2 linked regions of the Tribolium castaneum genome follow. The protein of the gene in region 2 binds, or shares a complex with, the protein of the main gene of each other region. Links are inferred from orthologs where the notes say so. Each region holds a gene or a part of one and is shown on either strand. Other genes may lie near its edges.

The links.
Region 1: Mks1 (region 2) and transmembrane protein 231 share a complex: the UniProt entries of both Homo sapiens proteins name them as parts of the tectonic-like complex. The link is inferred for Tribolium castaneum from reciprocal best matches to the Homo sapiens genes MKS1 and TMEM231.

Annotation. Positions count from the first base shown.
Region 1 is NC_087398.1:6,906,671-6,910,161, reverse strand, and holds transmembrane protein 231, read left to right. Parts: upstream 1-1,613; 5' UTR 1,614-1,696; coding exon 1,697-1,844; intron 1,845-1,894; coding exon 1,895-2,064; intron 2,065-2,114; coding exon 2,115-2,243; intron 2,244-2,295; coding exon 2,296-2,521; intron 2,522-2,568; coding exon 2,569-2,828; 3' UTR 2,829-2,860; downstream 2,861-3,491. Other genes in the region: mitochondrial import inner membrane translocase subunit Tim21, read right to left, coding at 2,861-2,965. UniProt on the Homo sapiens protein: Transmembrane component of the tectonic-like complex, a complex localized at the transition zone of primary cilia and acting as a barrier that prevents diffusion of transmembrane proteins between the cilia and plasma membranes.
Region 2 is NC_087401.1:10,812,905-10,817,327, reverse strand, and holds Mks1 (tectonic-like complex member MKS1), read right to left. Parts: upstream 2,870-4,423; 5' UTR 2,807-2,869; coding exon 2,730-2,806; intron 2,686-2,729; coding exon 2,308-2,685; intron 2,260-2,307; coding exon 2,034-2,259; intron 1,986-2,033; coding exon 1,452-1,985; intron 857-1,451; coding exon 620-856; 3' UTR 577-619; downstream 1-576. Other genes in the region: rhomboid-related protein 2, read left to right, coding at 3,037-3,105, 3,151-3,623, 3,671-4,199. UniProt on the Homo sapiens protein: Component of the tectonic-like complex, a complex localized at the transition zone of primary cilia and acting as a barrier that prevents diffusion of transmembrane proteins between the cilia and plasma membranes.

The DNA.
Region 1 (3,491 bases), on a different chromosome or scaffold from region 2:
TTTGGAAGCAACATAAAAAAATAAAAAATTACCTGTCAGGTATTCAACTGTTAAAAGCCTGTGAATATCCAGTTAGTTGCACTTTACACCAATGAAATACGAATAATACTGATGTTTCTTAAGACGGGAGATTCTATTTATGCGTGACTGCATTAGCAAAACCCTCCCGGCAGAATATGTCAGATGAAAAGCAATAAACAATTATTTTGAAGAAAAAAAAACATTTTAAATTCAAATTTGTATGATTTAATTATTTTTTGGACGCTTTTAGAATAAGAAAAACGTTGTAATCTATACTCGAAAAGCTTAAAATAACTGTTTTGTAATAAATAATAATTATTAAAATTGACCTTTTCAATTGCTTTACTATACTCGTAGTTCAAATTTCATTTATTTTGTTATGGTTTCTTAGACAGATTTGAATCAATTTAACCATTATTAAGTATATAAAGGTTATCTTAATTTTTTTTAACGATAAAAATATGTTTTAAGTCACATCAGAGCAACTGTTGTATTCAACTAATTAGAAGTTCTAAGAATTATAAAAATTTTGATAAATTGTATTAGTCTGCGCTAATTAAATGTCGTAACTAATTCCACTATAATTTTAATAAATTAAACTAGATATAGTATTTATTAATCATGTAGTATTAAATTATTGCCATCTTTTTTTATTTAAATACATTTCCAAATAAAGAATATAAATTGTTAAAGTATTTTATAAATGGTGAAAAATTGTGACCTAGTTTTACGATTAATATCTACCGAATAATTAATTTTCTTGGAAAACCAAGTATTACACATTTTTTCTTCTTCAAGTGTATTTAACTGGAAAAACCAAATAACGCAAGAATTAAGTATGTCATTGCCAATATATAGATATCGTTACTCATCAAGTCATCATTCATCAACCACCAATTTGCCCGGTATCTTTTGATGAAATCTGAAGAATTAAATTAAAAAATAGTAGAAGAAAATGTTTTCTCGAGCAAATTTGCGGATTTTTGAACTAAAAATATTTGCGTTTTACGTGAATTATTGCAATTATATAGTTTGTAATGTTGGTTTAGTTAAAAAATTTGTGTTAAAATATCTGCAAAACACGGTCAGTACCTGGGGCCTCGTGGCCCAGTGGTATAAGCACCACTTACAACGGGGGAGGTCGGGGGTTCGAACCCGGATCAGGTGTAACAATTTTTCTATGAAAAAAAGTGTAGAAAAGGTAAGGAAACAACACGTAAACAAAAATAAGAGATTGAGAGAACACATAGGCGTATAAAAGTAAAGCGGAGCTTAAAACTGAGAGAAATAAAAAAATAATGCGGCAAAAATGTAAAAGAACGTAAAGGCGCCAAATTGTAAACGTACTTTTTGTTTTGAGAGAAAAAGAAATGAACGTAAAGGTTACTTTTATTTGTTTATAACATAAACTGCAGAGGAAATCGATGTACAAAATTAAGGAAATTACACGTTTTAAAGAAAACAGAGAAAATTAAACAAAATCAGGATTTTTTTAATATTCTCATAATGGCCGTTTTTTTTGTTTCCGTTACCTTTTTTGGCAGTTCGGTCATTGCCCTAGCATTTTCAAATTACCCACACAGTCGTCGTCATGACAACCTAATTGTTTGTATTCAAAGTTGACAGGTAAACAAATAAAAAATTCGACCAAAAACCACAAGACGTAATTTTTGTGATGTTAATGATGGTAGTTTTAGAAGTTTTTACAAAGAATATAAAAATTTCTTATAAAAGTACTCTTCTATCAAAAGCATCGGTGCTAGCCCTAATTTTTGGGGTCTTATCGCTTGTGTTACCATTTATTTTTGCATACAAAAGCAAGGGTAAGAAATTAATTTTAATAAATTAGATAGTTCTGATAGCAAATTTTCAGGCTTGTGGTTAAAAAGAGACACTTTTTATGAACAACCGGATGTAAAATTTCGAGGAGAATACATTTTTGTTGCTACTACGAATAATTACAATAAGTCTGTTATAACGTGTAGTAATTTACCCCACTTTGATAATGTATTGCGGCCTTTAGATACTTGTTCAGTCATCAAGGTTTTTTTTTTCAGTTTTGTAACTATTAATTTACATATTGTGCCTTTTAGGTTCGTGAAACTGACAGAAATTTTGATGGTAAAACAGAAGAATTAGATTTGTCTCTCCAAGTTAATCTTCCAGTTAATACTCACCTCACGTCTTTTTGCATAATCATTCCATTTAATTATAAATTACAAGTAAGAAATTCGAATGTGTTCTTTTTTCTATATTTCTGTTTTTTTCCAATAGGTTTGTCCTCTTGAAATGCAGACTGCCATTATTTTTCAAGAATTGTTACCATTTTATATATCGAAGTATTCATTGGTGGCTAATGTGGTTGTGACCCAAACTAGCCCCTTAATTTGCCACAGAAAAAACACCAATACGTTATTTAATTATCCTGTGATTGTGGATAATGGGGATTTAAATAACTATGACATAAATACCATTATCACAAACTTTTCAAAGAGAAACAGTATAAGTTAAAGAATCTACAAAGCAATAACTAACATATTTTTTCAGTATCCACATCATTGAGAGACGTCTATAAAAGTTTTTCTCCTGGAAAAACTCAAAATTTCGTATTAAACTTAAATATAGAATTTCCAGAAGACAGGATATACTACAAGCCGGGCTTTTGGCAAGTACTGAAGTGGGCCTGGATCCAGTACCTCTCACTTTACATAATAATCTCATGGATAATTGCAAAAATAAAGCACTATATTTTTAGCAGGAGATTAATACTGTTTTTTGAAGAAAATCCGGTGAAGAAAAAACAATAAAAATTTAACAAACTTTATTATCATCGTTTTATTTACAACGTCAAGTCTAGTGGCTCTGAAGACGAACTAGAAGACGAAACTGCGTTCCTGTTGTCTTCCAGAACAATTGCTGTTTGTAGGAGATCGTCCACTTGAACCAGGGTGGTGAAACCTAAATGCACCAAGCCAAGTATAGGCGCCAAATTCAAAATCGACTGTAGTTCGGCTTGCTATCGCAGATGTCGCACACACGTATAGTCAATTTTAGCGAAGCTACCTATAATATCGGCAGAAATTAACAGTGGACCTGTGACAGTTGCCATTGTGTAAATCGCCATTTTGTGCTTGGTTTGTTTGGTGTTCGCCCTCGGCTTTGTTTTATGTGAAATTAGTACTGTTTTGTGGTTTTTTTCGTGTGTGTGCTTTTTTGAACTTTTTTATTGTGGGAATATAAATAATTTGATGGATCAATCATTAGTTTATAGTTATCGTATCGTGTATATTGACTAGTGATAATAAATTTTTATTACAAGTTTATTGTCTTTATTTATTCTCATATTTTATTTTTCGTATTCTTTGTAAATATTCAGCAACAATAGTTGTCTAACATCAGAAAGTGTTATTAGCAACTATTGTTGTGAATATTTACAAACAATACGAAAAATGCAATCAAACTTTAAAAGA
Region 2 (4,423 bases):
TGCCAACACGACGACGAAAAAATTACGGCTTAAATTGACTCGTTTTTCGCCCAAAATAACAACAATGTACACGTTGGTACGCCTGGCCCCAATCCCGACTTGGGGAAGTACCAACACAATTGCAAAAACTACCAAAAAGAAAAAAGAGTTGCCATGGCCGCCTTATCGATCCGGTCACAAATAGACGAATTGTTTAAAAATTGAAATTATTAGTCACGTGACGAGAGAAATTACAGGAATGGATTTTATCGATGGCACCCCCGAAGGAGCGACGTGTCAATGACTTGCAAAATAGGCGACTGTGTTACAATTTGAGACAGGTTCATGAACGGGGGACGCGTGGCAACAGGGCGGCCGTGCCACGGGGACCTCGCTAAGACTCGAGCGGCACTTGAGCCCCCCAGAGCATCCCAAAAGACAGAGGGGTGAACTGGAAGCCAGTTCCAGGCACACCATGGGGCCAAAGCCCAAACTTGGGGCTAAAACATGGATAAAGACAGCCCGAAGTCGCCCGATGTGACCCGAACCGGTCCGATCGTCCCTCGCCCAGATATATCGATTTTGGTTTATACCTAGTGCGGCGTTGCCACGTTTATTGATTCTCAAAATAAAACAACAATTATAAAAATTTCCGGGCCGCAATCATGTTTTTTCGGGCCCTTTTGAACGCTTGGAGCACTTGCTCCACGCTTTTGACCAAACTTGACGAGTTCAATTTTTCGAAAATTTCCAAATTTTCCTCGGAATTTTCTCTGTATTTGTCCAGAAACGCCTGGCTTTGATGGACGACGTGAACGGTCACGCTGATCAGACCGGTACCAACCGTGTTAGTCCCATATTTATTTAAAACAGACCCCTGGAAAAAAAATTTCCTTAGATAAGCTCGCCATTTTAAGCTGAGCTTAAACTGCAGTGTTGCTCAGCTAAGCCGCGCTGAACTTAACTTTGCGGTTGGTAGTACTGCACGCTTGCGCACTTATGACAGTTCTGATTTTAAAAAGTTAGGTTAAGATTCATTAATGTCACCATTTATCAATATTTCGGTACATTGTAGCAATAATATCGTTATAATAAAAATCTTATGTTTAAAAATGTATCAATAAAATGCGGCATTTATTTATTTCATGTTTAAAAATTTGTCCTACAATAAAAAAAATACTGATAAAATATATTGATGGAATAAGAATAAGTGAATTATTATCATTATACTTTTTTTGCTGTTTTTTTTTTCATCCAATGCAAGCAAGTAACTTTTTGCTTTCTAGTGTTAGTTTATACTATTGAACAAAATTGACCAATTTCAACAAAATTATAATGTTATCTACAATAATAATTTATTAAAAATATTAGCAATAAGCCGAGGTTTAGTTAAACCTAACCTAAATGAGCAACACTCGGTGTCGGCTTAAGCCCGCTTTAAGCCTTAGTAACCTTTCATTTAGTCAACTCACATCGTAATGTTTCGGTAATCCCACCCAAGTCAAGTCACCATAGCTTGAACAATCGCCAATAAAAAACCGGCGTAACTGACCGGAAATCCGGTCGGGGATTAACCGGAAACATTGTAGGTTAAACCGGTAATTCCCCGGCTTGGCAACGGGCAAGGCCTTATAAGTCAGCCCTTCAGTCCTATACCGACTCCAAGTGTCCTTCGAAATAACCTCAAAGTAGATATAAGGGCACTTGGGGATTCCCCTTTTGCCCAAATCCTCGATATTGTACTCTAACGTAACGTCGAAAACGTGCCCGAAATGGGCCAAACCCTCATCGCCAGTCACGTGACACGTTTGCGTCACGCCCTGCAGTTGCGATTGGTCAGTCGGGGACCAATCCGACGGCAAGTCGATGAAATACTGGACGTAGATTGGTCCATACTCGAAATATTGCGCCCACGCGAGTTCCATGAACAAATGAACGGCCAGTTTGTTTTTGGCGGGAAGTTTGAAACTCAAACATTTCAAAAGCTCGGTTTTGTGGCCATTTATCTGCAAATTCTTTAAATAAGATAAATTCGGGGATAATACAACACACACTTTTCGGATTAATTCTTTTTCGCGACGGTGGGCTTCCTCAGGCATTTGGGCCGAAACGTTCTCAAGGAAATAGTGATATTTGCGAATTGTGGCGCCTTCAAGTCGGATTAAATACGGCTGGGATTTGGTAAAGTCGGGGTTAATTGATAATATTTTGTACTTCCGGTCGTATTTAACGACACACAGGACTTGTTCCTGCTTGAGCCAAGTCGAATCGATGTATTCGCTACGAACAAATCGCTTTATAGTCACTCGGACGTTTCGGGGGAATTACCCGAGGTCCGCCATGATGTACATGACCTCAAACTCGTAATTATGACCAATGGGATTTCGCACTGCTGCCACAAGTGACTGGCCGTAGTCGTACCCCTGGCCATTTTCGTCGCAATTTTCGCGGAAATTGTCATTAACTTCCTGTTTGAGGGCAAAATCGTCGTCATTGGTGTACGAAAACAGGTCAAAATGCGCCTCAGTGTGTGATTCCCCGACGTCCGAATGGTACTTTTTCTCCAGATCTGTGATACAGTTTTTTTCGTCCTTGTAGTACTCCCTTTCTGACTTGCTGAAGCATTTCTGTTGCCAGGCGAAGTCTTTCTGCTCCCAACCGTCCGAATCCTCGCCAGTTAAATCCCCCACTTGGCGCAACTTCACTCTTGAACCTTGAACTTTAATTGTGTACGTAGTGTCTTTACTTACCTTATTTTCAAGTTGGTGATGTCATCCGAGCACCTGTAAATTGCCGTGTATTTGACCAAAGTCTCCTCCTGACTCATTTTAAGTGTTTTACACGTGAATCACAACAATGACGTTAGCCGCGCGCCATTTTTCAAACCTGCCAGGCGCGGAATTCCCCCAGTTGGGCCCAAAGTTACCAAAACATAACCGTGTAATGATAATTAACAAAACAAAAGTGATAATAATAATAAGTGATAACATGTAGTAACACGAGTGTTAGTAACGTAAACAGTGATTGTGTGTGTGCGCCAATTGAGGTTATGTGGCCATGGCCAACTCGGAGACGCCGCTCCAAGCCAGCCGCAAAAACGCCTACTACCGCAGCATTTTCGACAAAGTGAGCCCCCCAGTTTAGTAGCAATCACCCAAACTGCGCTTTCAGTACGACCGGGACCATGACGGTTTTATCAACATCGGGGAGCTGAATGACCTGATCGAGAGCCGGGAATATGACCACGACATCCCCGAGCACGTCGTGCGGAAAATCCACCAAATGGCCGATCAGAACCACGACGACCGAATCGATTTCACCGAATTCGTGGACATGATAAACCACCCGGACCTCCAGTACGTTTTCGGGCACTATGTCAACAGGTACATCCAGATGGTGGTGCCCCGCCGACGGGGCGCCAGCGAGGTGGACGGGGCCTACGACGACCAGTACTCCTGCTACCCCCCGGCCGTGGGCATGATCATTATTTCGCTAATCGAGGTCATTTTTTTCTGTGTGGATGAGGCAATCGAGGCGGATTCGACCAAATCGGCCTCGGGCCCCATCAGTTCCGTCTTCATCTACGACCCCTACAAGAGACAGGAGGCTTGGCGGTTCATCACTTACATGTTTGTGCACGTTGGGTAATTAATCAACAATTGACCGACGTTAGCCACCCAATTAATTGCAGAGCCTTCCATTTGTTTGTCAATCTTTTGGTGCAAATTCTACTGGGGACTCCGCTAGAAATGGTGCACCGGTGGTGGCGAGTGCTCCTCATTTATTTCGCGGGGGTCCTCGCCGGGTCGCTTGCTACCTCAATCGCCGACCCCACCGTGAGACTTGCGGGGGCCAGCGGTGGGGTCTACTCCCTCATCACGGCACATATAGCCACCATTATAATGAATTGGAGGGAAATGTCGTTCCCCATCGTCCAGTTATTTATTTTTTTGATCATTATGGCCTCCGACATTGGGACCGCCATTTACAATCGGTATTTCCTCGAAATGGACGAACATATCGGGTACATGGCCCACTTTGCGGGGGCTATTGCCGGGCTCTTGGTGGGGCTCAACGTCCTAAGAAACCTAGAAGTGACAACGGTCGAACGGGTCATTTGGTGGCTCTCTATCGTCACGTATTGTCTCCTGATGGCAATCGCAATCATTTGGAATTTTGCCTGGCCTGAGTATTTTTTGAAAAGTCGGGAACGGATTTGAGGTTAGGAAATGACACAAAAGTGTAACAATTATTATTTTTAAGCACAGATTAGGTACAAAGTGACCAGTTTTTGCAGTATTGTATGACTAGAGGTTGATTTTAGTATTATTTTTGATTTTGTAAAAGTGGGGTTATGTCGGCGCATAATCAGAAAGTGTTTTATTTGAGCATTGCGCGAGCCCCCAACTCATCTGGACGGACTCGCAACCGTGTTTCAAGCCCC